4 linked regions of the Arabidopsis thaliana genome follow. The protein of the gene in region 3 interacts with the protein of the main gene of each other region in a pairwise test. Each region holds a gene or a part of one and is shown on either strand. Other genes may lie near its edges. The genes, in order: AT5G25940, NRAMP2, ENODL15 and AT1G80890.

Region 1 (7,971 bases), on a different chromosome or scaffold from region 3:
AATTGAAGGCTCTTAATAAACCTGCGTTGAAGACCATCAAGGTATGGACTGAATCTGAATACGAATATATAACATCTTTGTTATAGTTTTTGGTTTTCTGAGTTTCCAAATCGATTGTAATTTTATTTGTAGAGCGAAGATGGAGATATAATAGATTGTATAGATATCTATAAACAACATGCCTTTGATCATCCCGCTTTAAAAAACCACAAAATTCAGGTAAACAAATTCTACTATATAACGATCATATAAATCAAAGATTTTGTATATACAAAATTTGGTTATATTTTGCTTTGTATATAAAGAAACCACATTTATGCATGCAGATGAAACCGAGTGTGAAATTTGGTACAAAGAAGACTACTATACCAAACAACGGTTCTTCTGAACACATAAAATCTCAGATTTGGTCTAAATCCGGAAAATGTCCAATGGGGACCATACCGGTTCGTAGAGTTAGTAGAGAAGACATAAGCAGAGCCTCTTCACCGTCTCATTTTGGGAGGAAAACTCCTCACAAATACAGCTTTCTAGACAACGCACTTCAACATAAGGGTAATTTCAATATAACACCTGCAAAAATAAACGAAGCCCAACCAAGGTTAAGATCGGTACGTACAGTGTAAGGTCTTAAATATATTTTTTTAAGACTAATAAAAGCTTCATATGGTTAACTAGAAACACTTATGCTTTGTGGATGATGGTATAGGAGGCATTTATTGTGGCCCTAGGGTTCAATTTTGTCGGAGCTCAATCTGATATAAATATTTGGAACCCTCCGAGGGTTGAAGCTACCGACTACAGTACTGCCCAGATCTGGCTGGTTGGTGGTCTCTCAGAGAATTTTGAGAGCGTTGAAGGTGGTTGGATGGTACGTTTCCATTGCTAAAAGTATTATACTTTGCTTTAGAAGTAAACCGTGACCCGATTAACAAAATCCTATATTTCAGGTGAATCCAGCTGTTTTCGGAGACTCACGTACCCGTCTCTTCATCTCCTGGACTGTGAGTAACACTTTTATATAACTACCAACTTTGAAATATCTCAATCACTTACGTGAGTTTATATAACTACGCTTTCTATTTGGATTTTCAGACAGATGGATACACTAAAACAGGGTGCATCAATCTCTTATGCGCGGGTTTTGTGCAAACAAGTAAAAAATTTGCCCTTGGTGCAACCGTTGAACCTGTTTCGAGTTCCTCTAGTACGCAATATCACATCACCGTTAGCATATTCCTTGTAAGATTTTCTAGTTTATATATGATCAACATTCTACACAATTTTACAAAATTATAAAATTGTCCCTTTTGGTTAATGCCCCAAAAACCGGTGTTAAATTTTTTTGAATATGTTTTGGAACGGGCTTGTATTGTCCTTTAATGCTTTATGATCGATTGTATTTGTAGGATCCAAACAGTGGGAACTGGTGGTTGACTTGCGAAAACAACGTGTTGGGTTATTGGCCGGGTACACTATTCAACTACCTAAAACACAGCGCCACAGCTGTGCAGTGGGGTGGAGAAGTACATAGCCCTAACGTAGTATTGAAGAAGCCACACACGACAACCGCAATGGGGAGTGGACAATGGGCATCTTACATCTGGGCCGAAGCTTGTTTCCACACAAACCTTAGGATCAAGGACTATTCCATGCAGCTCAAATACCCCCAGTTTCTATCCGAGTATGCTGATGAGTACAACTGTTATTCTACACTGCTCCACCGGAAAACATATATGTCAGAGCCCCACTTTTACTTCGGAGGACCTGGCCGGAACTCTCGTTGTCCTTAATCTCATGTTGATTTTGTCAATGTTCATTCTCCTGTTTTTTTGTTAGTTTTATCTTCGGAGGACCTGGCCGGAATTTTGTTTGTCTTCTAATTTAAACTAATCAGAGAAGATCTTATATTGATCATAATCTTTTAATTTTTTTCATTACTAACAAAGCCTAAGAAAGTGGAAAACACAATAGGGAGGGTAAAAGAAACTGAGCCAAATCAAAAGGAAGTCTCTAAACTGCTAATCACAAATTGCATCGAGTCTTGATGCCGCGGTGGAAAGTTTCAACCTCTACATGTAGAACAAAGAGACATGTTGAAAAATAAAATGTGATAAAATAATTTTTCCGTGTATACATAAAAAATAAAATAAACTAGTTTCAACCTCTATATAAGTATATATTACCGTCGACATCAATAGTAATAAAAAATACTCAAATGAATAAAAACAATTCTGTGGATAATAAGTTCCACCAAAAGGAAGGATCAACCATAAGTTCATGACTTTTGGGATTATCTTTGGTAGTTAATCTTAGTTTCATAGCACAAAGAATGAGCCAAATGTACGTTAAATATGCATATTTTTATTAATTTGTATATATAGTTTTGTGTATGTTTCTTATCAACTTAAAAAAGAGGAAAAGTAAAATCATATATATATATATATATATATATTATATAATTGAATTATACTATAAGGAGAAGGCAAATTTTAATTGTGTCTAAGTTACTATATATATATATATAATTATGTACATATAATTAATTTTGTATTAAATTAAATATTTGCTACCCTTTATGGAGCTTATATACCAAATTTTGTATTAAATAAAAAATAAATAAATAGTCTTTAACCTTTATAAGGTACTGAAAACCTTTAATTCGTATAAATTAATATATATGTTTTGTTTCACAATAACTAAAAAAATAAGTAAAAGTAGAAACAACAGATATGTAAGCTCTATAAGTAGTAGGAAAAATGTAATTAAGGATCCAAAATAATAATATTTATATTTTATTTGCAACCGAAAATTTTATAGACAACTCGCATTGAAAATGTTCTCAACTTGTTTTTATAGGAGGCAATACTTCTTGCGGTAGGGTTCAATTATATTGGTGCTCAATCAGGGAATTGTCCGATGCCATTTTCCAGTGGAATTTGATAGAAAATTTAAAATTAAGCATCAAAAAGTTGTCTGATGGCATTCATCGGAGTTGTCTTGAATCACCATTTTTCCGTTTCATCTCCTAACGTCTGTTTTTCACTTAAAAAGTCTCCAATTCCAGTATAACTTCGTAAAACTTGTACAAAACAACCGAAAAATACATTAAAAACGAACAAAAATGTGACAAACAACTCAAAACAAACACTAGACAAAGGACATAAGACACTAAAAACACAATATACCACATACAATTTTGGAGACACCCGCACACCGCTCTTCACCTCTTGGACTGTCAGTAACATTATGACATGACTATAGACATTACATTCACTTTCATGAAATTTACAACTACTCTTTGGATTTGGGTTGCAGAAAGATGCATACAGTAAAACAGCTCCATCAACCTCTTATGCTCATGTTTCATGCACATAAGTACTCAATTAGCCATAGGTGGAAGCTTAGACCCTGTTTCGACTTTCGAGTAGCTCGGATATATATGCATTATATCACATATCCCTTAGCACCATATTTTCTAATTTAATTTACAATATCACTCATTGCCACAAGTGTATAAAAACCATAGCAATAGAAGGGTATCAAAGTTCAAGTAACCAATTAAATTAGAACACTAGAAATACATTCTATCATCCAATCTAAGCAATCAAGTTAAATCATTAGAACAATATTGAACTACCGCCGAAGTAAGATCTCGTCTACCGGAGATATTGTCAGATTCTTGCCTCCGTTTTGTATTTGTTGTTTTGATTTGTAAAACTTTGGCTCAAGTCCAATTCAGGTATTATAATATTTTTAAAAAAAGAATATTGAACTATTAATAAAATCTTAACATTTTCTGTTGGTCCCTAGTACTTTTGATGGGCTCTCTATATCTTCGCTTTTGTATGTTTGAAGCATTAAGGCCGAATTCATTTAAAACTCAACTTCTATACCAAAAATTTTATTTTAAATTTTATGTAATTAAAATAAACTAACCAATTTTTTAAAAATTACTATTTTAATCACATATAAAATTAAGTTTTAATTTATCTTTCTATACAAAAATATCATCATTAATGAAATTAACTAATTTATTATATTTTTTTAATCATTTTTTCACTTATAAATTTTATCTAAAACTGAATCGATTAATTTCTTATATCTCTAAAGATATCCGTATGGTAACAAAATTGACTCCAAACATTTCTTAAGTCGATTTCTAAAACCGCTCCAAAAGACCATTGTGCATTAAAAATACTAAAAATCTAAAATTTAAAATATTCTCAATAACAAACATTTACGAACCACTGAATTTTATTTTATTTTAAAAATAATCTATAACATAATAATTGTTTTATCTGTTTTCTAACACAAATTATTCTAAATACATGATTGAAATACATTTCTAAATTGGCGTTTTATAGACTATAGTATTTTGACAACTTTGTTTTCAATATTGGCGTTTCATTATTTTGGTGAAAGATTCCCAACTTATAAAAAAAAAAAACGAATTTTTAATTTTCGTCCTAATCATTTATTTCCTAACCAAAGAAAAAGGCAAATCGCGACCCGTCTCTCTCTCTCTCTCTCTCCTTGAAATCGAAAGATCAAAAAAGCGACACTGAAAATGGAAAATCGGTCAGAAATGGGTAACCGGAGGCAGCAGAATCTCTTCGTCATAGCTTCTCCCGACGAGATTGCTAAGATCCATCGAGCCGAAACTTCCAAACAAGGTCTCTTCTTCTTTCTCCGTCTCTCTCTCTCTTTTTTCCCCTAAAAAAAATCTTTTAAATTGATGACTTTGGATTATGTTACAGCCGGAGCTATTGCCGGAGCTAAGGCCGCCGCCGTTGCCGCCGTCGCCAGTGCGATTCCCACAGTAATCATATAATCTCACTTATCTAAATTTTTTAAATTGAGATCTTAAATGAATTAAATGTAAGAGTTATGTTTCTTTGTTGTTGAATTTTAAGACAAAAGTGACTCACCAATCTCATGTTCTGTAATAATCAAGAGTTTCAATTTTGTTACCTATTCATTTTGTGATTTCTGAATACACCAAGTAGAGTCACATTCTTTTTGATGTGTATATAAGATATGAATTTGGTACATAAGCATGCCTTGTTTTCGTAACAGGTAGCTGCCGTTCGTATGTTCCCGTGGGCTAAGGCAAACCTCAACTACACTGCTCAAGCACTCATTATTTCTTCAGGTTAGCTCTATCAGCAATATGCCTTAAATCATTACTATATGTTCTTCCTGGAACTAAGTAGAAAAAAGATACTAGCTTTAACATTGTTGTAGAAACCTCGAACTTCCCTTTTGAACCTAGTTGAGTTTGGGGTTTTTAAGTATTCGTACATTCATTTCTCCACAATTTTCTTCTGATTTCTATCTTGTGATTATGGTGATCATTGGAACAGCTTCTATCGCTGCGTTCTTCATAACCGCGGATAAAACGATTCTACAAGGCGCAAGAAGAAACACCGAGGCTCAGTTAAAGAAAGTTCAGCAAGACTCTAAATAATTTCTCTTCTTATTGTAACACAAATCAATCATCATCTTTCTCTGTTTTGTATGCATATTTTGCCTTGATTCTTAATAAGAGTGTTATTATTATAAGGAATAACAAATTCTTTAAGACCATTTTTTATTCAGACTTTCAGATTTTGTTCTCAAATAAGTTACAAGCTGGTAGTTATACTCTTAACTAAAACTTTGCTTACACAAAAACTAAATGGTTTCTAATACATTTGTACATTTCACAAAAAAAACAACATCAAGTGTTGTGATTATTTGATTATACAAAACCTAAATCTTCATCTTCTACCCTTTTACTTGTCCTTCGACCCGATAAACTAACTAGTAGAGGTGCCTCATATGCCTCTGTTGCAGTCTTCTTCGTCGCCTCAAGTCCTTGTTGGCGCAGAACATACAAGACCTCTTTCATGGAAGGTCTATGACTAGGCAATGTGTTAGTACACATGAGACCTAGCTTGAAAACTGTTGTCATCGCCTCAGTCGTGGAAGCTTCTTTGATGTCCTCATCAAACGCCTCTGCGGTCGGTTTTCCAGATTGGTAATGTTTCCATGACCAATCTGCTAAGTTTGTGTGTTCATCTCCGTTGTTTCCTTCTCTTCCAGTCACCAGCTCTAGCAAAACTACCCCGAAGCTGTACACATCGATCTTCTCATCTACCTTTGACGTATATGCGTATTCTGCAACATAAAAATATTAGAGATCACACAATGAGCGACTCTATTCGACTCTAAAGAATGTTTTTTGTTTACGGGTATTACCTGGAGCAATGTAACCAAAGGATCCAGCAACAGCTGACATGGTATGAGGTTCTTGGTTTTGCTTAATCAACAGTTTAGCCAACCCGAAATCTGCAATCTTCGCGTTGAATTCAGAATCAAGCAAGATGTTACTCGACTTGACATCTCTATGTATGATTGCGGGAGTACAATCATGATGCATATAGCAAAGTCCTTGAGCTGCTCCAACTGCGATATTCAACCTCTGTGACCATGTAAGGTTATTAGCCTCTACGGTACCTCCCTTCTTCTTTCCATGTAACCATTGATCAAGACTGCGTTTCTCGAGATACTCATACACTAGAAGCTTTGAATCTTCCCTTGAGATACAACACAATAGTTTCACTATATTCGAGTGCCTGATCGTTCCAAGAATCTCAACTTCAGCAATAAACTCCTTCTCAAGTTTCTGGTCCAGTTTCTTGCTGTCCCATATCCTCTTCACTGCCACACATTGTCCCGAGCTTTCGACGAAAATCTTGTAAACTTTGCCCGATCCGCCACTACCGATCACGTAGTGTTCCATCAGATTCGACACGATGTCGGATTCCGCAAAATCTACTCTATGAAATGAAGTGAGTTTCCACGTCTCTAGACCTCTTCTTCTTTGTTTCCTTGTGTAGTCCCTAACCACAAAGAACGTAACAAACAGAGTAATGGTGAGAAGCAGAACCGCGATGACTAGAATCATCGCGAGGATTTTCCCGGGGAACCCTCTTGATCCCCGGCGCTGTTTCCGACAATCCGGTAAGCTGAGAACCGGGTTGTCTGCACAAAGATTAGAGTTGTTCAAGAAACTTCTCTCGTAAGCAAGATTATCAAGTTGCTCTGGTATTCCTCCAGTGAGTCTATTTGATGACACATTAAATGTTGTCAGCTTCAGGCTCCCAATCTCCGGTGGGATTCCACCGGAGAATTGATTCTCCGATAGATCAAGATTGAGCAGACGTGGCAACAATCCTAAAGCTCTCGGAATTTCCCCGGAAAGCTTGTTCTTGGATAAACTTAACGTTATCAACGACTTCCATGAGATGATCTCATCCGGTAATTCACCGGTGAGATCATTCTCATCGAGAAAGATCGATATGAGATTCGAAAGAGAAGTCAATTCCTTCGGAAACTCACCAGAAAACTGATTGTTTCCCGCCTTAAACTCAACTAAGGAAGACCAAGTACCGATTTTCTTCGGAATCTCACCGGAAAATCGATTGTTATCAATCTCGATCCTCGACATATTCCAAGCAACATTCTCCGGTAACTCTCCGGTGAATGAGTTGTTACTCACCTGTAGACTATACATACTTGAAGCATTCCAGATCCGAGAAGGAAACTTGCCGGAGAAGTCATTGTTCTGTAACTGAACAGTCAAGAGCGTTCCACAATCTCCGAGCGACTCAGGGATTTCTCCGGTAAGATTGTTTGAGTACACAACCACTCCTTGAAGTTTACCACCTTTGCACAAATTTTCCGGTAACTTTCCGGTTAACTGATTCTCCGAAACTTCGAATCTCTCCAGCTTTGAATGAACTCCAATCTCTGCAGGTATTTCTCCGGTTAACTTGTTGTTGAAGATTTTAAACTCCTTCAATCCCGGTAGTTTTCCGATAACCGGTGGAATTTCTCCGGTTAACTTGTTGTTGAAGAGGTTTAACACTTGTAATTTCGTTAGATTTCCGATTGATACCGGAATCGAACCGGTTAAATTATTAG
Region 2 (9,227 bases), on a different chromosome or scaffold from region 3:
ACTGTCAATATGAGAATAGGGAACACAAGCAACCAATTTAAAATTGTTTTCAATTACATAATACTAAACCCTAAGATAATAAATAGGGAACCCAAGCAACCAATTTTATAAAAAATTTTGAGAAAAATCCAGTTTTAATTATATATATATATATATATGCATGTATATAAATATGTATTTGTGTAGTTATATCACTGGATCCGAAAATCAACTCAAACACATCTCGATCCCTTTTTAAAGGTATAAAAGTATAAAATCTAAAATGAAAACATAGTATACAGATAAATCAATGACTATAAATAACAAGCATCATTATAGAAAAACACCTTATAGAATAAACATAGCATGTTATCTATATAAAATACATGAACCAGCTATAAATAACATGCATAATATGAACAAACCTCTTCTTCTTTTTTTAACCCCTAAACGGACGAAAAAGAATCCACAAAATTTGAGGAAATTTCCAGATCTCGCCTTATCTAACTTCATGTAGAGAGATTAAGAAAAAATTGAGGGTTAGTAGAGACTAAATAAAAAAGAACCAAAACTTAGATCTGGACACAATCGGTAAGAACTCTATGTAGGATACTTATGTAAGTATACATGGGAAGAAATAGAAGAAGACACAGATAAATAATCGGAAACCCAGGACTGAACTTACCAGATTCATTGGCGAATACCAGATTGGATAGGAGGAGAACGAATTAAAACTTCTCTCGCAAACGGCAAAAGAAGGAAAAAAAGATTAGCAGCTATATAAAACACATACAAAAAACTATAAAACAAATGCAAACAAATGAAATAACAGAGTACTTAATGGCAGACCAAAAGGTATAAAAGCATGAAATTTAAAATGAAAACATATTATAGAGAGAAACCAATTAGTCAAAATAACAAGCATCATTATACAAGAACACATTATAGAGTAGACATAACATGTTATCTATATAAAATACATGAACCAACTATAAATAACATGCAAAATATGAACAAACCTCTTGTTTTTAAACAAAAACCCTAGACGGACGAAGCAGAATCCAAAGAGTTTGAGGAAATTCCCAGATCTCGCCTTATCTAACTTCATGTAGAGAGATTAAGAAAAAATTGAGGGTTAGTAGAGAATAAATAAAAAAGAATCAAAACTTAGATCTGGACACAACAGGTAAGAACCCTATGCAAGATACTTATGGAAGTATACATGGGAAGAAATAGAAGAAGATATAGATAGAGGGAAAAAAGAACCGAACTTTAGATCTGGCCACAATCGTTATTTTCTATGCAATTGAAGTATAAAGGGGAAGAAATAGAAGAAGATCGGCGATAAATAAACGAAAATGAATGGAACGTAAGACGTTCAAAATCCTCGATATCGCCGAATCTGCAGTCATGGAACGTAAGACGTTCAAAATTTGGGTTAGTATAGTATAAAAGAGAACAGATCAAAAGACAATATTTACAAACCTCAAGTGTTTTTCAAACAAAACCCACAGCGTCAGCCACAAAAGCCTCCGATATCGCCTAATCTTCTTTCGTGAATAGTAAGAGACAAAAAATGGGTTAGTTGCATGTAAGAAACACAGATAAAGGACGCAATATCTACAAACCTCGTGGGTTATTCAAACAAAGCACATCAATATTTACAAACCTCATGTGTTTTCCAAAAAAGCACAGAAGGATTCCCAAAAAAAAAACAGAGACTTTAGCCGCAAACTCTCGATGGTCGCCTAACTTTCATTCATCAACAGTACACGAAACAAAATTAGGGTTAGTTAACAACGAACCGAACTTTAGATCTAGACACAAGCGATGATTGACATGCAATTAAAGGTATAGGGGAAGAGAAATAAGAAGAGCAACTGTAAATAATCGGAAATCAGTGGTTCTACTTACCCAAATCGTCGGCGAGGGAAGACCAAAAATTAATCCTTCGATTGTCACCGGCGACTGCAACGAGAAGACGATTTGAAAAGGATAATCGGAAACACAATCAATTTCTAGAAACAACTACTACTTGGATCGAAAAGATGAGAGCAACGACGATGAAATTAATCGCCGCCGAGAGAGGTTTTTTCGGTGAGAAAAATTTTTTTTTTTTTTTTTTTTTTTAATTTTAGGGTTATTACTTTGGTCGTGAGACAAACTTGGGCCGAATAATGCAATAGAATTCAAATTTCAAACCCAGAATCATACGCTCCCCAAACAGTGTCTTGTCGCTTTGATGTCTAAGGTTATACATGTAAAATTACATGTGTTTCCGACTTACCCCTGTAGCTCATGGCTATTCTCTTAATTTTTTTTGAATCCATGGCTATTTTATGTAGATACTCATTGAAATATGGTAAAAGAAGGTACAGTAGAAATACTAATTATGTTCATGCTTGAAAGTTGAAACACACAAAAAAAACGAATAACATGTTTTTATGATTTAAATAATGAGTGATGAAAACACACATGAAGGGATTGACAAAAATACTAGTCACTAAATATCCTCATGATACAAAAAAAAAAGAAAAAAAGAAAAATAGTCACTAAATATTCACTTAACTAAAAATCCTCATGATTTGTTCACTTTGGAAAATTCAGCAAAAAAATTTAGTAAGCTTATTGAATGTAAACCAGTAATTTCTGATGAGATTAAAACTGAGTTCTAGTTAAAAGACTTTCGGATGAGGAGGTTAAATTTTCATAATTTGCATCGCATCAAAAAAAAAAAAACATTTTATCAATGGTTGAGTTTCTGCTCATAAATTTTTGGAATGTGAGTAATACAATCATATCAACTATGCTATTCATGAAGCTCTAAAAAACTAATCATGAATCTTATATTGGAAACTCAATAAACTTTTGGTGTGGGATATTTAGTTTCACACATTGTGATCTATAAAAGAGAGGAAGAGATAGATCAAGCAATGGATCTAAAAATGTATAAAACACACACTTTATTCACTACCTTGTATTCAATTAACGTCATTAAAAAGCAAAGCTTTATTCAAATTTGTGACAATACAACTATGGCAACACTACACTAAATACATAATTTCAAAGCAAATTTATAACATAAAGTTTTTCTTCTTTTTTAGGCATTAATATAATAAAGTTGAATCTGGTACCAAAAAGTTACGAAAAAGAAACGCATTAATCTCTTTTTTAAAAAGCATCTGATTAAGTGCCTGCGTCTTCTTCTTCTTTTATCCCTCCAATTCAAAATTCAGGTACGTCGACGACACCACCACCACCACCGACAGAATATTCCGATTTAACCCTCACCGAATATTCCCTCTTCCTCCATGGAAAACGACGTCAAAGAGAATCTCGAAGAAGAGGAAGACCGTCTTCTTCCTCCTCCTCCTCCTTCACAATCTCTCCCATCCACCGATTCCGAATCCGAAGCGGCTTTCGAAACAAACGAAAAGATCCTAATCGTCGATTTCGAATCACCCGACGATCCAACAACCGGAGACACACCACCGCCATTCTCATGGCGGAAGCTCTGGTTATTCACCGGTCCAGGTTTCTTAATGAGTATAGCGTTTTTGGATCCAGGGAATCTAGAAGGAGATCTACAAGCTGGTGCAATCGCTGGCTATTCTCTGTTGTGGCTACTAATGTGGGCAACAGCTATGGGGTTGTTGATTCAGATGTTGTCAGCTAGAGTCGGTGTAGCTACTGGTCGTCATTTAGCTGAGCTTTGTCGTGATGAGTATCCTACTTGGGCTAGGTATGTGCTTTGGTCTATGGCGGAACTTGCTTTGATTGGTGCTGATATTCAAGAGGTTATTGGTAGTGCTATTGCTATTCAGATTCTTAGCCGTGGCTTCTTGCCTCTTTGGGCTGGTGTTGTTATTACTGCTTCCGATTGGTGAGTCCTTTCGATACTCTATTCGTTCTTTAGAGATGTTGGATTCGTAGAATTAGTAGAGACTTGGTTTGGAGAATCTTATGATTCATTCTGAAATTTTAAAACTTTGCGGATCATCTTAGCGGTATTGAGTTTGAGTATGGATCATTCGAACTCACAAATCAGTAGAAACTTGGTTTAGAGATTCATGATTCAATCTGAAGTTGAGAATTTGCTTTTACTTTGGCTGTTTTCTTGTAAAACTTTGCTAAGATGATCCAAACTCACAAATCAGTAGAGAATTGGTTTAACGATTTGTGATCGAATCTGAAATTAAGAAACTTGCTTTTTTGTATTTTGAAAACTTGGCTAATGAATTTGTTGCAAACAGTTTTTTATTTTTGTTTCTAGAGAATTACGGTGTGAGGAAGTTAGAAGCTGTTTTTGCAGTTTTGATCGCAACTATGGGTTTGTCCTTTGCTTGGATGTTTGGTGAAACAAAACCGAGTGGGAAAGAACTTATGATAGGTAAAGATTTCAGATTTTTACTCTTGAATTTCACTTTATTTGCTTTGATTTGAGTGCTTAAAAATCAAATCTTTGTGTTTATGGATAGGTATTTTACTACCGAGACTTAGCTCAAAGACAATTAGGCAAGCTGTAGGTGTTGTTGGCTGTGTTATAATGCCTCACAATGTGTTTTTGCATTCGGCTCTTGTACAATCGAGGAAAATCGATCCGAAGAGGAAATCCCGGGTTCAAGAAGCGCTTAATTACTATTTGATCGAGTCATCCGTCGCACTTTTCATCTCCTTCATGATTAACTTGTTTGTGACTACTGTCTTTGCAAAGGGGTTTTATGGAACTGAGAAAGCTAATAACATTGGCCTAGTTAATGCTGGTCAGTATCTTCAAGAAAAGTTTGGAGGCGGGCTTCTTCCGATTCTTTATATCTGGGGTATCGGGTTGTTAGCAGCCGGACAAAGCAGTACGATAACTGGTACATATGCTGGACAGTTTATAATGGGCGGTTTTCTGAATCTCCGGCTTAAGAAATGGATGAGGGCAGTAATAACAAGAAGCTGTGCTATTGTGCCTACAATGATTGTGGCAATCGTGTTCAATACTTCTGAAGCTTCCTTGGATGTTTTGAATGAATGGCTCAATGTCCTTCAGTCTGTACAAATTCCTTTTGCTCTTCTCCCTCTTCTAACCTTGGTATCCAAAGAAGAAATTATGGGAGACTTCAAGATTGGGCCTATTCTCCAGGTAAATTTCCACTTCTTTTACTACAAGTCTCCATAGGATACCACAATAGGTGAATTAGTGTTGAGTCTTATCGTTTTAGGTGTCTCGACTTTTTTAGTTTCACTGTTTGTGCAATTATCTTAGTAAACATGTAGAATTGAAAGTCCTTCAATGGAATAGAGAAGCATGAAGAGTGAGTATTTGTAAGTTGATTGGATTTATTGATTACATTGCAGAGAATAGCTTGGACTGTGGCTGCACTTGTAATGATCATCAATGGGTATCTTCTGTTGGATTTCTTTGTATCAGAAGTCGACGGGTTTCTGTTTGGAGTTACGGTCTGCGTCTGGACGACTGCTTATATCGCCTTTATAGTGTACCTCATTTCACACAGCAACTTTTTTCCTTCTCCTTGGTCATCCTCTTCCATAGAACTTCCCAAAAGAGTGTCCGTCTCCAATAGCTAGTAGCTGCACAAAAATAACTGCCCTCAAGACCATTTGTTACATGTCAAGAAGATACAGTAAACAAACTTCATCCACTATAGTCTTATACATATTGAAACGCCAAAGTGGTGATAAGAGTTAGCTTAGCTTTTTGTGAATGTTAACATCACAAATATGTAGTGGCAAAGTCTTTGTTGTACTTTTTTGTTTTTGTTAAGAGGATGTGCACATTCCAATATGATTTAAAGAGGCTTTTACATCATAGAAAAAAGCAGAAAACAAATCAATAAAAATCTAATAAACCATTGAAAAAATGGTCAAGCAAAAAAAAAAAAGTTTCTTAACTAGTGTTAGCAAAAATCATTGAACATACGCTAAAAGAGATAATACTCAATACTAATCTGCCATTCTAACAGATATATACAACCCAAAATTCAGGTAACTAACACTTCCAATACATAAGCTTCAAGCTTCTTTTACGCCATTCCTCTAATGGTAATATCTTCAAAGAAAGCAAGAGGTAGCTCCGGTGAAACAGGCATGGTCGCAACGCACTTGTACTGTACCAAGAGAATCAGATATTAGAATGTTCTTGTTGCAATATATCACAAGTTTAAAGTTACATCATTGAATTGTTGAATTTACCTTGTGTTGCTTGTACTTATTTCTAACAGCTTCTAGAGTGTTTCCTCTTCTGCTTAGATACAAGTCATGTATGATACCCACGCACACTTGTAGATCAGCTGCTTTGTACTTTGTGTATTCTTCTAGCATTTGATTCTGTTTGCATCACCAGAAGAGGATTTAGAATATAAAGAACTTTTTCTGTATAAGAACCTGTCATGGTTCTTAATTTGCTTACCCAAGGATGTTGTTTTGGACGGATGATGAACCGGGCAAGAAATACAGCTGAAGCAGACAAAAGAGATGGCAAATACTTCACACAGGTGTAATCTAACATACTCAATTCTGATAGATAGCAACAAAGGAACTCTATCTGCAATTGTGAGTCCTGCAAAGGCATGAAAAAAAAGAAGATTTAACAATAGAAATTATGAGATGCAAATGCCACAGTTTACAGGTACATCGATTTTGAGCTTACTTTGAAATCTTCTTGTGCAACCCGTGTAAACCGTCTGCACAAACACGACATAAAAAAGAGAATAACAATCAAAACAAGGGCAAGTAAAACCATGAAATCATAAGTTTAAACACCAGACTGTTTCAGAGTCGAACCTTAGGAATGTTTTGATGGTTGGGCTTCCTAATTCAAACTGCAGAGCAAGAAGTATATCCGCCTCCATCGACACCACTTCTTGTTTAGTAAATGTATTATCCGTAATGTAACAAAAATCTTCAACTTTAGGAGGACCTATCTCTTCATATTTCCTACTTTTTTAAAAGCAAAAATAAAGATTCCATAAGCCAACCATCTAAGACTCTTCACACCAACACAACAATAAACAAAGAGGATTAAGATGCTTACGACGCAATAAGCATTGCAGAAACTCCCACAAGCTGAAGCTTCTGCCTGTTAATAGGCTTCACAGACAAGAATCTATCAACATAGGAGATAGTGAGATAAAGCGTATCCGAAACAAGCTTGTACTCCTCAGCAACCTCCACTAACCAATCCACCAAAACCGCTCTCATGTGTGGAGTTAAATCACTCTGAACCTTTTCAATATAATCAGGTAGTGGTCTATGTTTCGGCTTCCCCTGAAAATTTTACCAATCCAAAAACAATAACCATTAGTCCCAAAGTATCAATCATCTCTAATTTCTCCAAACATATCATATAACCATAAGAGCAAGCTGTGATTGGACAAAATCTCAGAAACTTATCAAATCCACAACTTTAACCAAACCCATTAATCAATATCAAGTCCAACACTGTACCAATTCCAAAATAACATAAACTGATACCATAAGATCACTAAGATCAAAAATGATGGAATCAAGAAATCTACTAAAGATGATTTTTTTTTTACCTCCATTTCACGGAGATAAGCACAAATATCACTAGCAAAAGGCTCACACATCTGAGGATCAACAGATCTCGATTCGATTAGTACGCTAGCTTCAGGAATCATCAAAGCCTTCTTCATCTGCCTCTTCGAGGTATTAACACTTGTTTTAGCCTTAAGGGTCTCTCTTTCTTGATTGGGTACAGCAACGACATTGGACATATTCGGAAGCTCTCCGAGAACAACTCTCTTCTTACTAACTGGGTTTTCGTCTAACGCCATGGACGACGCTTTTCGTTTCGCCGCCGCTCTCGTCATCCTCGCACAGTTCTGATTCTCCGCCATGGGGTTATTTCAGTGGGAAAGTGAGATTTGAGAAAAGGGGTAATGTACAAGGTAGGTAAAAGGAAATGGGTTGAGTAAAAGCGCCATTTTTGTTGGGGAAGTTTTGAGATTTTTAGGTCATGGCGCTTCTCTGTGTAAATTTTCCGATTTCGAAATTTTTAGGGATTTGACTTTTGAGTATCCAAAATTTGGGGCTTTTTTGCAGATTTCATTTCCACATTTATTTGGCGGCTGTTTTCTCCTTTTTACCCTTCAAAAAGTTTCACTCCTATATTTAGACAATCATTATTGTTTTATTCACTTAATTAAAGATGAAAATAACAATCAATGAATGCTTTTAATTAAGGAAATTATTAGTAGTTGATTTGTTTTTTTTTCGGTTTTGGTTAAGATTCGGAATTAAGTGAGATGCTTTTAAAAAATTTAAAAAAAAATCGGTTTTGCATTTGTTTTTTTTTTATACTTTTTTTGGGTTTAGTTTTACATTTTTGATTTTTTTTTGGATACAGAAAAATAAATCCACTAAACCATATGAAAATATTTTGTCTAAACAATAATAAAAAAAAATCATTGAACTAGGAATTCATTTAACACCATTTCCTATATAATTTTTTCGACAAATTCAGCTATTAATTTAACAAAAATAATTGACACCAACGGACACTTATCTTATATTAGAGTTGTCAAAATGGGTGTGCGGCCCGTGGGCTGCCTGCGTCCAATACTTAATGGACCGAGTCATGGATAAAGCCATTATAAAACGGGCTTTAATGGTTATAGTCGTTAACGGATATGAACTTTAGCAGAGTAGATATGATGGACATGGGCGGCCCAATAGTCTTATAATGTTAGGTTAAATCGATTTGAGGAAAAATCGAATATTAAAATGGACATTATTGGATTGGACAAAGGTGTTAATGGATACGGACTATGTTCGTCCAATATCAAAATAGACATTATTGGATTGGGCTAATGGACATGGACACCCCGATTTGACAACTCTATCTTATATGATCCGCCTATCTGTTATTATCTAATAAACGTATGTTGGAAATGACCAGACCAATTCTACCAAATAATCTTTCCAATAAGGGTTCACTTGTAGAAATTGCCTTTTTATTGACTTAAATGAACAATTTCTGTTTTGTTTTGTTTTTGTCAAGGATCATAGCAAGTCTAAAGGCTTATCTTGTCATGTCTTCCCATTCATCTGGTTTCGATACCATTTGAAGTAAATTATTGACTACTAAAGTTTTGGCCTTCTAGGAACTTATAAATTTTGTCATAGGAGGCTCAATGATTAAACAAATAAAATCATGTCACATAAAATACTTCTTATCATATTGCATAATCGTATAAATTTCCAGAGTAACACATTAA
Region 3 (7,392 bases):
TACAGTAGCTCCATGGTTTACAGTAGCTCCGTGGTTTACAGTAGCTCCATGGTTGAAGGCTTAATTACAGCTGCAGGGAATCGTCGGTTTGACACTAGGTTGTGTCCGATTTTCTTCTTATTTTTAATTTTTAAAACGACGTCGTTTTGAACTGTTAACGGAAAGTTGACTCCGTTAATTTTCTGTTAACGCAAATTTCACGGCATGCCTTAAATGACCACGTCAACGAAACTTAGACATTTTTTAATAAGCCAACTCAAACTTTGAGATTTAAATGACATTTCGAAAGTTCATGCTTTTTTCGTCCCAAATTTGAAAGTTGGCGCATTTTTCAACATTTTTCCCAATAAATAATACATCAAATGACAAAAATAAATTGACTGGAAGACTGCAAATGGTATCAAATGAATATGTACCCTAAACAGAGAATTGATGGAATATACTGTAGTCAATATAGTATTGCGTTTGTATTTTTATGTCATAGAGAACATAAAAAGCATGGCATATACCTATAACACAAACGATTACTCTTAGTGAATAATTTAAGACGACAATCCGGAAACCTCACATTTAATCGAACCGTGGAGAATATAGTCAATCCAATCGAAACCAAATTTCGGTTCTGAGATGAGAATGCTTTTTATTGTTTGATCGTTGAGATATGAATGTTTAACGTCAAACGACTAATAGTAAAGGTTTAATGTTGAAAAATAATAGAAAGATAATTATAGACAGGCGTGAGCATAAGGCATCATAAACAAATGATGGTGAACACTGACTATGGGTCCAAACCTCCATAATTGCAACCTTGTGCTTCTTCTCTTCCTTTTCTCCTTTCTTCATAAATTTCTTTATAATTTCCTACTCTTTTTTTTTTAACTTCTTTTACCTTTTTATAAGTAGACGAAAATTAGTTTTTACCCTTAGTTTTATTTGTGTAAAACTTACTTGAATTATTTGGAATGTACAAATAGTTTCCGCAGAATAACTTTGGTCGTTTTCAGGTCTATCTTTATCTTATTGTTTTCTTCTTGAACATCATGAAATAAAATGATAGAAGACTCCACCAATATGGAGAAGACTCAATTGGATGTTTTGTAATAGTGGTGTGAGTTTCGTAATAGTAAGCTGTATTTGCCAAATGACGAAATGTTATCATATGGGTTTGAGGAATAAGTACACAAACCCTATTATCCAAGTAAAAAATAACGTGGCCATTTGTTTTATTTTGCACAAAACAATGTATATATATAATGTACGTATCTATTAAATTTGTAGCTCTAATTAATATTTACGAGTGAGAGAGTTGATTCTAATGACGTTACATACCAAACTTATGCAAAATCTCATTTAAGTCATTGAATTTCTATCTTTTTGTTATTGAAAAATTGGAAAGTGAAGATTTTAGATATTTAATTGTTAGTCATGAGTTATGGCTTATGGACGAGCCGTTAGATATGTTTCTAAGTAGTGGATACTTGAACTGAAGCTTTTAGTAGTAGTACTTTGAATGTTTTATCAGAATTGATTAGAAAGTAAACGATGATCAGCCTAATTTAAAGACGAAAATGTTGATTTATAAATAAAATGTGTGCAGTTGGTGAGGAGAGAAAAAAAAGTTTGTCGTCCAGGTTTTATGCTCATAAAGCAACACATGAGTGTTTCTACCTAACAGCCTATGTCAATACACTTACTTTTCTGGGCCATTAAGTGGACTCACCTAATTTTTTCATATTTATAACGTTACGATCTTATTTTATGCCAATCAACGTTTTTTAAAGACATGCGAATCACCAATTGTCTCATAGAATCAACTTGCTATTATTTTGTAGTTGACTAAAAAATTACTATTTCTTTCCTTAAACTTTTATTTGGCACTTGACAGTAAGTAATCAAGACCACATTGCCGATTCAAAATAATCACACCGTTCGAAATTTTCAAATTGAGTTTTCTTGTTAGAGAATTTACCCTAAAACTAAATCAAAACCAAACTGAATAAATTCCATAAACAATTGGAATTTTCTATTTTTCATTAAGACTGGAAATATAAAAACGTAATCAAAGTCATATCAAAAGACTGCAAAACCGGATTTGTAGTCTTTGAATGCCATGCATGATGATGCTCTACACATCTTTTAGGATATGGCCCAAAAATATTAATACGCAAAAGAAGCCCACAATAATGGCCCTACTTTTAAGCGACATAACACAGAGAAATGTAGAGGATTCGGTGATCTAAATTATACGCATGCATTTGCTACACAAGACTACTCTATTCCTCCCATTTTATTCTTCTGCTTGCTCTAGTAGTTGACATAAGCCATTCTTGGACACGTTATGTTATTTTATTACAAGTAAATAAGAAGTTCCAACAAGAGCATGAAGCAAGAACAAAATTACAAAAGCAAAAAAAGAAGAAGAAGATAAACCCTTTAATTCTTCCCTTGAAATTTTACTTTCTTGGATGTGTATCTTCAGGTTTAGCCGTCCCTGTGGCAGCCTTAGCTACATCAGTGGCAGTGGCTTCCGGCTTCTTCTTAGCATACATAACAGTGTACATGATGGCCCCCGAGATAGCTAATCCGGCTAGAGCCATCGTCGTGTAACTGTATGGCAAGTTACGGCGTTGATGAAGAACACCACCTGGATTACTTCCTGGCGGCCTCTTTGATGACTCAACGCCGGCAGCTTTTACTCCCTCCGAGCTCATCTTCGTCGTATCTGCTGTTTTTCTCCAGTCTTCTTCTCCGGCCATGCTTATGCCTTCTTCAGTATTTTTTTGGTTGGGACTATACTAATCATGGAAAATTCAGCTTTAGCTATAGGTTTTTGGATATAGTAAGAGTCACGAAGACACGTAGTGTCGTTGGAGTTTGTTAATGTGTTCAATAAGGGACACCTAGCTGATTCTCTTTATTTTCTGTAATAAACATATTAGGCAGGTGTCATGCCTTAGAATCGTAACTAAGCCAGGTGCCAAATTGGGTCTGGACTTTTAACTATAATCAAAATTTATGCCCAAAGTTGGAGGTTTTTGTCTTCTGCTTCTCATATGGGCTTTAGGCGATATGTCTTTTATTCATCTTTTATCAACTTCAAGGCCCAATAAACCCAGTTCCCACTAGCAAACAAAAAGTAAAGTACAAAAACAAAAAACAGAAACAGCTTAGCTTGACCAGTCTTCCTAGAAGACCGTGAAATCACTTTCTCTATCAGAGTTCAAGTTTTGTCGCTCAATCCTAACCGTTACGTTGCCTTTATCATCTCTCCAACGGATACATTAACATTTACCATTTTTTCCTTTTAATTTTTCGTAATTCCTAAACGGCTAGTTTCCAAGTCCTCTACCTTTATATAAACCACACAAGATCCACACTCTCTCCATCCTCAACACACTTTAAAACACATTACACACTCTAATACTTTTAAGGTTTTAGATTCTAATCAATGGCTTCTTCTTCTCTTTTGGTCACCATCTTCCTCTGCATCTCTGTCTTCTTCTTTTCGTCCGTGAATGCAAATGAGGTTACCGTCGGTGGAAAATCCGGTGACTGGAAGATCCCTCCTTCCTCTTCTTTCTCCTTTAACGAATGGGCTCAAAAGGCTCGCTTCAAAGTCGGCGACTTTATCGGTAAATCCATAATTTTCAACTTTTTTTTTTCAATTAGACATTTTGTGTGATCTTCAATATACTCTGTTTCTGACATCGTCACATGTTTATTACAGTATTCAAGTACGAAGCCGGTAAAGACTCGGTTTTGCAAGTGACACGAGAAGCATACGAGAAATGCAACACCACTAGCCCTAAAGCCAGCTACACCGACGGGAACACAAAGGTGAAGCTTGACCAAGCTGGTCCGGTCTACTTCGTCAGTGGAACAGAGGGTCATTGTCAAAAGGGTCAGAAGCTACGCCTAGTCGTCATCACTCCTCGTAACTCTGCTTTCTCTCCAGGTCCTTCGCCATCTGAGTTCGACGGTCCAGCCGTAGCTCCTACTAGTGGTGCCGCTAAGCTCGCCGGCGGATTTAGTGTCGTATTTGGGCTTGTTCTTGGATTATGGGCCTTCTTCTTTTAAAAGACAATTAGTCTTAATTCTATTTATTAATTTTGGAATATAAAGTAGAAATCTTTGTTATTTACTACATTAAATTTATTTTAATCTAAATTGTTCTTCCTCTTTTTCAATTCTGGATAAATTAGTTGGATCTATCAACAATCAACAAAGAAAACAAAACAAAAGTGAATGAGAATTTTGAATTTAGTACCCAAAAAGGTAATTTACAGCAACACAAAGAAACCTGGACTGTCGTGAAAAGAGGCCTAAAAATGGGCCTGAATTGGGCCTAAAGATATTTTGGGAGGGAAGCAAAACGGTAAGGATCGAGTGGAGCGAGTCTGATTTTATCCTCTCGGCAAGTTTTTTATTATTCTGCTTCGAAAATTCTTTCATCAAAAATCTCCGGTTCACCGAAATCGACTCCCTCGCGCTCTTTTCAGCCGGTGAACGGAGACGAATCAAAATGCTCATAGCTATTCAGCACGTGTTTGTGTTTTGTTAGTTATATCTGCGCCACTTGAAATGTGATGAATCATCATCGTTAATCTCTGTTTTCGTTTCAATTTTTGCCGGAGAATTGAATTGTTTTGCTTGCTTGGCTTATCTCTAGAATGGTCGCGTTACTCTGCTCTGCGAGTTTGTGTGGTGATATATCAGTTGGTGATGCTTGTCTTGTTAGTAACATCAAAGCAAAATGTCGCGATAATTTGGTTACTGGAGGATTAAAGTTCCACGCTTTGAAGATTGGGTCTCGGAAGAAACACTGGAGAAGGAAGAGTATGAGATGTAGTGTAGTCTCCATGAAAAGTTCTGACTTTTCGGGTTCTATGATAAGAAAGAGCTCAAAACCTGATTTGTCATCGAGTGAAGAAGTAACGAGGGGTTTAAAGTCGTTTCCTGATACTGATTCTTCATTTTCGTATTTCAAATCAGTGGCTGGGAATTTGAATTTAGTTCACACTACTGAGACTTGTAACTACATGCTTGAAGCTTTGAGGGTTGATGGTAAACTTGAGGAAATGGCTTATGTGTTTGATTTGATGCAGAAAAGAATCATAAAGAGGGATACTAATACTTACTTGACTATCTTCAAGAGTCTTTCTGTGAAAGGTGGATTGAAGCAAGCACCTTATGCACTTCGGAAGATGAGAGAATTTGGTTTTGTGTTGAATGCATATTCATACAATGGGTTGATTCATCTTCTGCTTAAGTCTAGGTTTTGCACAGAGGCAATGGAGGTTTATAGAAGAATGATCTTGGAAGGTTTTAGACCTAGTTTGCAGACTTACTCTTCACTTATGGTAGGTTTGGGGAAAAGAAGGGATATTGATTCTGTGATGGGTTTACTTAAAGAGATGGAGACTTTGGGGTTAAAGCCGAATGTTTACACCTTTACGATATGTATTCGGGTGCTTGGTAGGGCAGGGAAGATTAATGAAGCATATGAAATACTGAAGCGGATGGATGATGAAGGATGTGGACCTGATGTAGTTACTTACACTGTTCTTATTGATGCTCTGTGTACTGCTAGGAAGCTCGATTGTGCGAAGGAGGTTTTCGAAAAGATGAAAACAGGAAGACACAAACCAGATCGTGTAACTTACATTACTTTGCTGGACAGGTTTAGTGATAACAGAGATCTGGATTCAGTGAAGCAGTTTTGGAGTGAAATGGAGAAGGATGGTCATGTACCTGATGTTGTAACCTTTACCATTCTCGTGGATGCTCTGTGCAAAGCTGGGAATTTTGGTGAAGCATTTGATACATTGGATGTGATGAGGGACCAAGGTATCTTACCGAACCTTCATACATATAACACATTGATTTGCGGTCTTCTAAGAGTCCACCGGTTGGATGATGCACTTGAACTGTTTGGTAATATGGAGTCTCTGGGCGTGAAGCCCACTGCCTATACGTACATAGTTTTCATTGATTACTATGGAAAGTCTGGAGATTCCGTCAGTGCTCTTGAGACTTTTGAGAAGATGAAAACCAAAGGAATAGCTCCGAACATTGTAGCCTGTAATGCGTCTCTCTACAGTCTAGCTAAAGCGGGAAGGGACCGAGAAGCGAAACAAATCTTCTATGGCTTGAAAGACATAGGACTGGTCCCTGATTCAGTAACTTATAACATGATGATGAAGTGCTACAGTAAGGTTGGGGAGATAGATGAAGCCATCAAGCTGCTTTCTGAGATGATGGAGAATGGTTGTGAACCTGATGTTATTGTTGTTAATTCTTTGATCAATACACTTTACAAAGCTGATAGAGTAGATGAGGCGTGGAAGATGTTTATGAGAATGAAGGAAATGAAGCTGAAGCCTACAGTTGTGACTTACAACACATTGCTCGCAGGTCTAGGCAAAAATGGAAAAATTCAAGAGGCCATTGAGTTGTTCGAGGGGATGGTGCAGAAAGGTTGTCCACCTAACACAATTACTTTCAACACTCTCTTTGATTGCCTTTGCAAAAATGACGAGGTGACTCTAGCCTTGAAGATGTTGTTCAAGATGATGGACATGGGTTGTGTCCCAGATGTTTTTACTTACAATACGATTATCTTTGGTTTGGTGAAGAATGGTCAAGTCAAAGAGGCAATGTGTTTCTTCCACCAGATGAAGAAACTGGTTTACCCTGATTTTGTTACACTCTGCACTCTTCTCCCAGGTGTTGTCAAGGCCAGTTTAATCGAAGATGCTTACAAAATCATCACCAACTTTCTTTACAATTGTGCAGACCAACCGGCTAATCTTTTCTGGGAAGACTTGATAGGCTCTATCTTGGCTGAAGCTGGAATAGACAATGCCGTTTCATTTTCTGAGAGATTGGTAGCTAATGGGATTTGTCGAGATGGTGACTCTATCCTGGTGCCAATAATCAGATATTCTTGTAAACATAATAACGTCTCAGGTGCTCGAACTTTATTCGAGAAATTCACAAAAGATCTTGGTGTCCAACCCAAACTCCCGACTTATAATCTGCTAATCGGCGGGCTTCTTGAAGCTGATATGATTGAAATAGCACAGGACGTGTTCCTACAGGTGAAGAGCACTGGTTGCATCCCAGATGTGGCGACCTACAACTTCTTGCTTGATGCTTATGGAAAATCAGGAAAAATCGACGAACTGTTTGAGCTATACAAAGAAATGTCTACCCATGAGTGCGAAGCAAACACAATTACTCACAACATTGTCATCTCCGGGCTTGTGAAGGCAGGAAATGTGGACGATGCTCTTGATTTATACTACGACCTTATGAGTGATCGGGACTTCTCCCCAACTGCCTGCACGTATGGTCCCCTTATCGATGGCCTCTCTAAGTCAGGAAGACTAT
Region 4 (7,572 bases), on a different chromosome or scaffold from region 3:
CTTCAGAAGAGGATGGAGAAGGAAAAGCAATAGCAGCAGCAAGAAGAAGAAGAAGAACAACAATGGATCGATGGGGAGTGAGATGTGGAGTGGTGATTTGTTCAGCCGTGAATTAAGCAGCACGACGAGTATGAGAGGAACATTGTGTTACATAGCACCGGAATATGGAGGCGGTTGCTGTTACTTGATGGAGAAAGGAGATATCTACAGCTTTGGAGTACTGATTCTAGTGATAGTCTCGGGTAGGAGGCCTTTACACGTCCTTGCATCGCCGATGAAGCTTGAAAAAGCAAATTTGGTGAGCTGGTGTAGGCAACTGGCTCAGTCAGGGAACGTTCTTGAGCTGGTCGACGAGAAATTGAAGGATGGGTATAACAAGGAAGAAGCAGGATTGTGCATTAACTTGGCTTTGGCTTGTCTGCAGAAAGCTCCAGAGTTACGGCCTGATGTTAGTGAAGTTGTGAGAATCTTGAGAGGGGAAATGGACATTTCCTCCACTGCTTTCGAGTTTTCTCCATCGCCACCGGGAAAAGTTTACGGCAGTAGATCGAAGCGGAGAAGCTAAAACAGGGCAATGCAGAGTAGTAGTTCGAGGTTTGATATGATCTTTTCATTTTCGAAATTGTTGGATGTAACTTGAAAGAGTTTTAGCTTTTGAGAATTGTATTATGTTGTAATTTTTGTAAACTATATATATAATTTAAAATCTTATATATAAATATTTAAACTTTAAACTTTTTCGATTGATTAAATAATTTTAGATAAATTGTCTTATTTTCTTAACTATACCTAATATTTTTGTTTTTTAAGTGTTAAATTTTAAATATGTGTAAACTAATTGATTGTCCAATTATGTTTATTTAGAATTTTAACACCTATTTCATTTATCGAAAAACGTTTTTAGTTTTTAGTTTATACTAATTTATATATCAATATTTAAAAGGTTTTTCGATGTTTTCCATACTCTTGATGGAGTAAACTGATGGTTCCTTGAAATGTGGCATGAAAAAATTGCAACACATAAAAGAATCCAAGGCCATAACATTCATCATTGGTTCACGAGTCACAGAATACAAAAATATTATATAAGAAAATGAAGTCCAAGGACAAAAGAATACAGAAAAGGACACAAATAGACTATGAGAGAGCTCTGAAGATCTTGCCTTGGAAACACAGTGAGCTCAGCCTTTGCCTGTTCTGCAGTCTGGCTCATATCATAACACATTGAACTTTAACTTCTTGTAACTTGAACGTGCAGCGATGCGTGGACGTGTAACAATCAAGAATCACACTAGTTTTTAACGTCTATCATGTAATCCGGAGAGAGATTCCTGAATCAGCATGGCTGCAAATGATTAGTTTTGCAGATTCATTGATATTAGGAATATGCAAAGGTAGCGATCAGCAAATCTAGTAAACTGACGAAAAGATTACCTGGAAAACTGCACGGCGGATGTAGTGAAAGAGTGGAGACCGTGAGGTTTGAGAATTGAGTCATTATTTCAGTGATCGTTTGATGAGAAACTTCAAGTCTTACCCCTATCTGATTATTTTCTGTCTACTGATCGTTGACCCTTGTAGCCTTCCTGAGAACCAACTTTTTGAAGATTCATCCTCTTGCTTTTTCTGACCCCCTTCACCTTTTGCTCCTCAAGAAGTTTCTGGAGCATAGGATTTCCTACGAACCCCTTTGATTTCATCTCTGAATAGATCTCTCTGGCCTTTTCAAGCCACCCACATGACAAAAGGCCCTGTATTGTAGCCAAGTAAAGAGCAGGATTAGCCACTATCTCAAAACGATCCATTTCTGCCCAGATCTTCAAAGCATTTTCTGGTTGCTTTCCCTTGAACAATTTTCCAAGAATAAGAAGAAAGGTCTCTTCTGTAGGACCTAAATCAGAGATCTTCATTTGGCCTAAAACCTCTAAAGTTTTCTCGAAATTTACAGCCTCAAGGAATGCATGAAATGTATCAACTGTTGGACTAAGGTTCTCACTAATCATGGTTGCCAATACATTCCTGGCTACGTCCAGCTTTCCAGCCTCACAAAGGGGGCGTATCATCGAGTTGTAGGTCACTGAATCTGGCTTTAATCCTTCCTCGTTCAACTTTTTCATAAGCTTCATAGCTTCATCAAAGCAATCCTCACGGGTCAACACATAAACCAAGGAATTGTAAACTTCAATCCCTGGAGCCAATCCCCGTTTCTTCATTTCATCGTATAGCCTGAGAGAATCAAAAAGGTTCCCAACTTTAGAGAAGCAAGAGATCATGTGACTGTAAGAGTCCTTGTTAGGCGTGATACAGTAATTCCCCATCTCTCGCCAAATCCTCTTTGCTTCAGTCACATCAGTCCAAATGTTACACCAACCATTAAGAATTACGTTGAATCCCTCAACATCCACCGGAAAGAGCTTTTTGCTTGCAAGCATGAACTCTTCAGCTTTTTCAATGTGGCCATGTCTACACAATGCACATAGCAATCCTTGAAATGCTTCATCATAAGGAGTGTGTTTAAACTTATCCATAATATCAAATGTCCGAATAGCTTGGCTAGTATCATTAGCAGCAGCATATCTACATCAACACCGTCACCAAGACAACCAATTCAATACCTAGCTAGTAAATCTTTCAATTTAGCACAACAAAAGAGAAACTTTTATCAAGAAGACGAAACCGAACCTGTCCATCATGAGAAACATGGCCTTTCTAGTATCCTTTGAAACATTAAACATATCACGGATCAAACACCAAGCAATGTTGAACTTTTGATGATTACCCAACACCCAGATCATCAAATCACAAGATTTCTGATCATCACAGCCGCGTTTCTCTCCCCATTTGAATGCTAGAAAGGCAAGCCTCCATTCATCTCTTAATTCCCAGATTAAGGAGTAGAAAGAATCATGATTTAGATCAAATGATGAGTCCTCCAGAGAAGCCATGGCATCCGCCTCTGACTCCAGCTCAGAGACCTGTCTGATTAAATCAATCAGACCCTTTTCTAACGGAGCCAATGCTGTTAAGTTGATATCAAATGTTTCGGAGATGGTTTTGGTGGAGAAGCGATTAGAAGAGGCAAAATGTGGGAGATAGCTTAAAACTTGAGAATGCACATGACCTGCTCGATGAAATGCTGAAGAGAAGGAATGATTTTGGGAAACTGAGCTCGAAAACGACGTCGACACTGCACGACGTAGCAGAGATTGATGCTGAACAATCCGCCATTGTGGCGTTCGCGCGAGTTTCCTACCAATGGCAACGATCGCGGCCATAGCGAGTGAGTGAGAAGGCTTAAATTAATACATTTCAAACATGGTCTTAATGGGATGAGGATATGAAGTTAATGGGGTCAAAAACGAATATATAGATAATATGGGGTCTAATATGGTAATAAACAAAGTAACACTAATATGAATGGGCCTAAATAGGGCCCATTTTAGATTTCTTTAAAAGATCCGAGAGAGAGAGGGATCTAATTCCTGATAAACCCTAGAAGAAGAAGAAGAAGAAGAAGAAGAAGAAGAAGAAGAAGAAGAAGAAGCAAAACCTGTGGAGATCGAGATGGGAAATGAGAGCAAGAGCAATTTGGGAGGAGGAGGAATTAGGGCAAAGATGGAGCACTATGTCTACAGTGGGGAGAAGAAGCACGTTTTGGCTGGGATCGGGATTATCTCCATCATCTTCGGAATCCCTTGGTATCTAATGAATCAAGGTTCGTTTTCTCTGGGCGATTTAGATTGAAATATATAAATAGATGTTTCTCTGTAGATTCCGAAATGGAAGAGGATGATGATATCAATAGCTGAAAGATTTAGAATCTAAAGTTTCTAACTTTATATTTCTTGGCAAATGCAATCAAGTGGTCGATCAAATAGAGTTTGATTATATGATAATGATGAGTCACAATGTTTATTCTGTTTGGATCATAATAGACTTGCATGATCACATTTTTTACCAAGTTTGTTTGCTTTTTCCCCTGATGATCACACATCGATTCAATTGCATAATCTCAATGGTTAAATATCTTATTTGCTATATGTGACATTTGGTAATATTCTCCTTGTTTTGTTCATTATATAGGCTAATTGTTTCTCTTATTGGCTTTTGTTGTTTGGTAAATCTGGTTTGTTTCAGGATCAAAGCATCGTTCTCACCAAGATTACTTGGAAAAAGCTGATAAAGCTCGAAAAGCTCGTCTCTCATCATCTTCATCCTCGGATAAGTAGTCATCTCCCCCCACTTGGATGGAGACTCTAGTCAACTACATTTTGTGAATGGATCCATACATCATCGTTTCCATGTCTATAAACTCAGCCATGTCTGTTCTAGAGTGTGGTTCAGTTCAGATATGTATCTTTACACTCTACACTTAGGTTTCTTTATCGAAGATATGTAAATTTGCGATAAGTTAAAGGATTCATCCTTTACGATACTGTTGTGTGAGCTGTGAGTTTCGACTAGGACAATCCATAAAGTGAAAGATCAAGATGAGTCTGGTATGGTTTGCTTAATAATCTTTCAGTAACCCAAAAAAAAAATACACGGGGTTTTATCTTGTAAAGGTCACAGGCGATTAATGTATAGATTTAAGCAACATAAACAGTAAAACAATCGTCTACGTGTCAGGGTAGTTATGTCTTCACAGAGGCATGAGTCTTCTACGTTTGTAGTACCAGAGGAATGCCAAAAATACAACAAGGCCACACACTCCAGTAATGGCTAAAACCCATTTGAAAGCACCAGGCTTTTCAAAGAAGTCTATCTCAAAATTCATCCCAAAGATCCCGGCTACAACCCCGAAGATGGCTACAACGAATGTGGCAGTAGTTAGCAGCAGCTCGAATTGGATCAGCTGATTCCGTACGTTATCCTGCAAATTCCAGAAATTTTCAGCAGATTCTTAAGGTTTTCTAAGCAAATAAGATATCTAAAAAAGATCAAGATTTCAAGGTATACCAATTGAATGTTGATGAAATCTTCGGTATCATCGATGTACTCCTTTAACTGAAGAGTAAAGAGAGTTGCAGGTGATTAAACCGCTTTTAAAAGCTGTTAAAACAAGATGATGAATGATCACAAAGGCGAGGTTTTTAGTTACCGAGGTTAGCTTGTTGAGAGTGCTGTCAATGACAACAAAGTATGCTTCCAGCAACATCTCTAGCTCCTCTATATTCTCGGTTGCGTCTTCTGAGCTCCTAGCACTGTCATGCCGGCTCCTTACAATGCTCAAGCTTTTCTCAAGTCTACGGGACTCAGGAGGAGAAGAAACAGGAGAAACTGGCGCAGACAGAGAAAAACAATCATTTGTTCGATAAACAGGTAAAGATTGATCACCATATAAAGATCCTTCCATTCTCTTCTTCTTCTCTGTTAGATACATTTCTGCCATATCCCCATCATCGTCCATTAGCTGTTCAATCTCATCCCGAACCTTCTGAACTCGTCTCGTCAATGCTACAAGTCTGCTCTTTAGTCTACGAGCACGCTCCAAGTTTAGAGTACTGATCTTTGAGGTAAGCTCATCCAATAATGGGTATGCCTCAATCTCTAACTCTGAAGCCTACAAAGGGAAAATCTATTCTCAATGCTGAGCATACTAAATAACAATAAGTTGTGAATCAATCACTGACCTGGGAATCAAGGAAGGTACAAGCAGCTTCAAGTGCAACTTCAAGAGCCCTGAACTCGAAAGGTAAATAATCAGGGGATGAGTTCTGAAGCACATTGTCTAAACTCCTACTCCTCCTCCTGCTCAATTCGAGACTGTCCTGATTCCAAACCTCAGTAACAGAACTTGCCTTTAGTCTCTGCTGCAGCTCAACAACATAGCGAAGCACATAGTTGTCAAGGGAATTCAAGAGCAAAACCTCATCCGCAGTAATAATACAACGGATCTGCTCTAAGTTAACAACAATAGCCTTCTCTCTACCAAGAATAGTTGACGGATACACAAACAAAGGATCAAGCAGCCTTAAATCCCGTGCTGGTAAATCACATCTACGCATCATAGTGAACTTATCAACCTCAATGACCTGAGAATTGGCAGAAGTATCAACACGAATCCACGACTTAAGGCCTTGTCCACGCTTCTTGAGACCCAAAACATCAACTCCAAGGAGTGGTTGTCTCCCTGAAGGAGAAGGACGAGAGCCTGCATCACCTCTAAGGTTAATAGCCGAAGCAGGTCTTGGAGGAAGCAAACGCTCTTTGAGTTCAGACATTGTTGCCAATCTCCAGATACTACAAAACCAGGTAAGTATAAGGAATGAAATATAAAAAGAATCTCTTCAAGGTCTATTTGATAAAATAAATAAAAAGTCAAGAATAGAAATTTCTCCAAGCAGGATCGTCTTTCAAATACCAGAAGCGAAGTAATAAATACAGACTAATCTCTCTGATAAAAAATGGAAGCTTAAGAAAGCATACATCACAAGGAAAAGATCAGAATACTATAGAGTGTTTCATCGGTCATATCCCACAAAATCAGATGGATCGTCCCAAAACAATAAAACAGAGACAATATATACCAAAAAGGTCGGAAATTGTAGAGAAAATTTCAATTCACACCTCCAAATTAACAATCTCCGACAAAGTAACCCTAAAATCTAAATTCGAAAGGATTGCGGAAGTGACTTGGCCGGATTCCGTCTTCTAGTTTGGTTTGAGTGAATGCGAAGAAGAAGCAAAAGTTAGAACCTTTTTTGCGTTTTGGTACTTTGTAGACGAAATCAAATTACATGTAGTGAGTAATGCAAACCGATTCTTAACTAATTTATATTGGTTGAGACTCAAATTTACCGGTTTAACGCAACTTTCATTATAAAATGCTCTAGCTATCTATTTCATTAATGTTTGTTCAATAATTTAATGCATCAATTCAATTAGTATTCAATTATTTGATCCAAGCGTGACGACTAAATGAGAGAATGATATGTGAAATCTGAAATGTTATAACCGGTTTAGGAATTATTCATAGATTGAGGAGACGAAATCAAAAATTATTCGAGTATAGGTGACAACAACGTGCGATTAGAAAAAGTAAAAATAAGGGATCATTGGAGAAGACAATGGATGACGTAAGCCGATGAGAATCTGAAGATCCTCTACGACCCGAGTCCATTTTAGATCCTAACCCGGTGACCCGTTTACCTGGTTTCCTCTCACCACCAAGTTTTGCTTCTAAAATTTTCTGGTAGATCTGAGTCCACAATCATCAGAAATCAACTTTGTGAATTGAAGGCCGATCACTCCTTTGACTTTGTTCTTAGGGTTCATCCTCAAAGGTAATCAATTTATATGGATTACGCAATTTTCTTAACGAAATTGATTAACTTGCAATTACCTGAACCTCCAAAATCGTAAATTGTAGGGTTCTCTGGTGATTTGATGTGCCTTAAAGTTATGAATTTTAGATACGGAGTTTGTATTATTGCCTGATTTCCGATACACATTTCTGTGTGCTTTTTAAGGTGTTTAATGAGCTCTTAGAAGCTATGGGAATGGCGTCCATGAGCTCTGGTACTGAAAGCCTTCGTCTTTGCGTGTTTGACTTAAGAAGAGGCCAACACG

The links.
Region 1: the proteins of ENODL15 (region 3) and AT5G25940 interact in a protein complementation assay, tested with the Arabidopsis thaliana proteins (one large-scale study listed by BioGRID).
Region 2: the proteins of ENODL15 (region 3) and NRAMP2 interact in a protein complementation assay, tested with the Arabidopsis thaliana proteins (one large-scale study listed by BioGRID).
Region 4: the proteins of ENODL15 (region 3) and AT1G80890 interact in a protein complementation assay, tested with the Arabidopsis thaliana proteins (one large-scale study listed by BioGRID).

What each region holds. Positions count from the first base shown.
Region 1 is NC_003076.8:9,051,751-9,059,721, reverse strand, and holds AT5G25940 (early nodulin-like protein), read left to right. Parts: upstream 1-4,466; 5' UTR 4,467-4,570; coding exon 4,571-4,676; intron 4,677-4,760; coding exon 4,761-4,822; intron 4,823-5,079; coding exon 5,080-5,155; exon of another isoform or gene 5,156-5,366; coding exon 5,367-5,470; 3' UTR 5,471-5,600; downstream 5,601-7,971. Other genes in the region: AT5G25950 (AslB, putative (DUF239)), read left to right, coding at 1-41, 133-219, 327-611, 710-871, 951-1,004, 1,096-1,242, 1,410-1,793; AT5G25930 (kinase family with leucine-rich repeat domain-containing protein), read right to left, coding at 5,744-6,162, 6,244-7,971.
Region 2 is NC_003070.9:17,305,372-17,314,598, reverse strand, and holds NRAMP2 (NRAMP metal ion transporter 2), read left to right. Parts: upstream 1-3,093; 5' UTR 3,094-3,290; coding exon 3,291-3,862; intron 3,863-4,232; coding exon 4,233-4,369; intron 4,370-4,457; coding exon 4,458-5,110; intron 5,111-5,325; coding exon 5,326-5,556; 3' UTR 5,557-5,796; downstream 5,797-9,227. Other genes in the region: CYCA3;4 (CYCLIN A3;4), read right to left, coding at 6,012-6,095, 6,181-6,315, 6,398-6,547, 6,638-6,671, 6,772-6,927, 7,022-7,254, 7,527-7,847. UniProt on the Arabidopsis thaliana protein: Seems to be involved in iron uptake.
Region 3 is NC_003075.7:15,398,350-15,405,741, forward strand, and holds ENODL15 (early nodulin-like protein 15), read left to right. Parts: upstream 1-3,290; 5' UTR 3,291-3,448; coding exon 3,449-3,632; intron 3,633-3,727; coding exon 3,728-4,077; 3' UTR 4,078-4,280; downstream 4,281-7,392. Other genes in the region: AT4G31830 (uncharacterized protein), read right to left, coding at 2,454-2,756; PGR3 (proton gradient regulation 3), read left to right, coding at 4,671-7,392. UniProt on the Arabidopsis thaliana protein: May act as a carbohydrate transporter. Required, together with ENODL11, ENODL12, ENODL13, ENODL14 and ENODL15, for male-female communication and pollen tube reception and burst at the synergid cell surface of the female gametophyte.
Region 4 is NC_003070.9:30,393,647-30,401,218, forward strand, and holds AT1G80890 (GAG1At protein), read left to right. Parts: upstream 1-3,481; 5' UTR 3,482-3,564; coding exon 3,565-3,715; exon of another isoform or gene 3,716-4,137; coding exon 4,138-4,229; 3' UTR 4,230-4,564; downstream 4,565-7,572. Other genes in the region: AT1G80870 (Protein kinase superfamily protein), read left to right, coding at 1-565; AT1G80880 (Tetratricopeptide repeat (TPR)-like superfamily protein), read right to left, coding at 1,548-2,577, 2,683-3,275; MGT1 (magnesium transporter 1), read right to left, coding at 4,643-4,873, 4,960-5,007, 5,102-5,563, 5,634-6,224; AT1G80910 (vacuolar fusion CCZ1-like protein (DUF1712)), read left to right, coding at 7,497-7,572.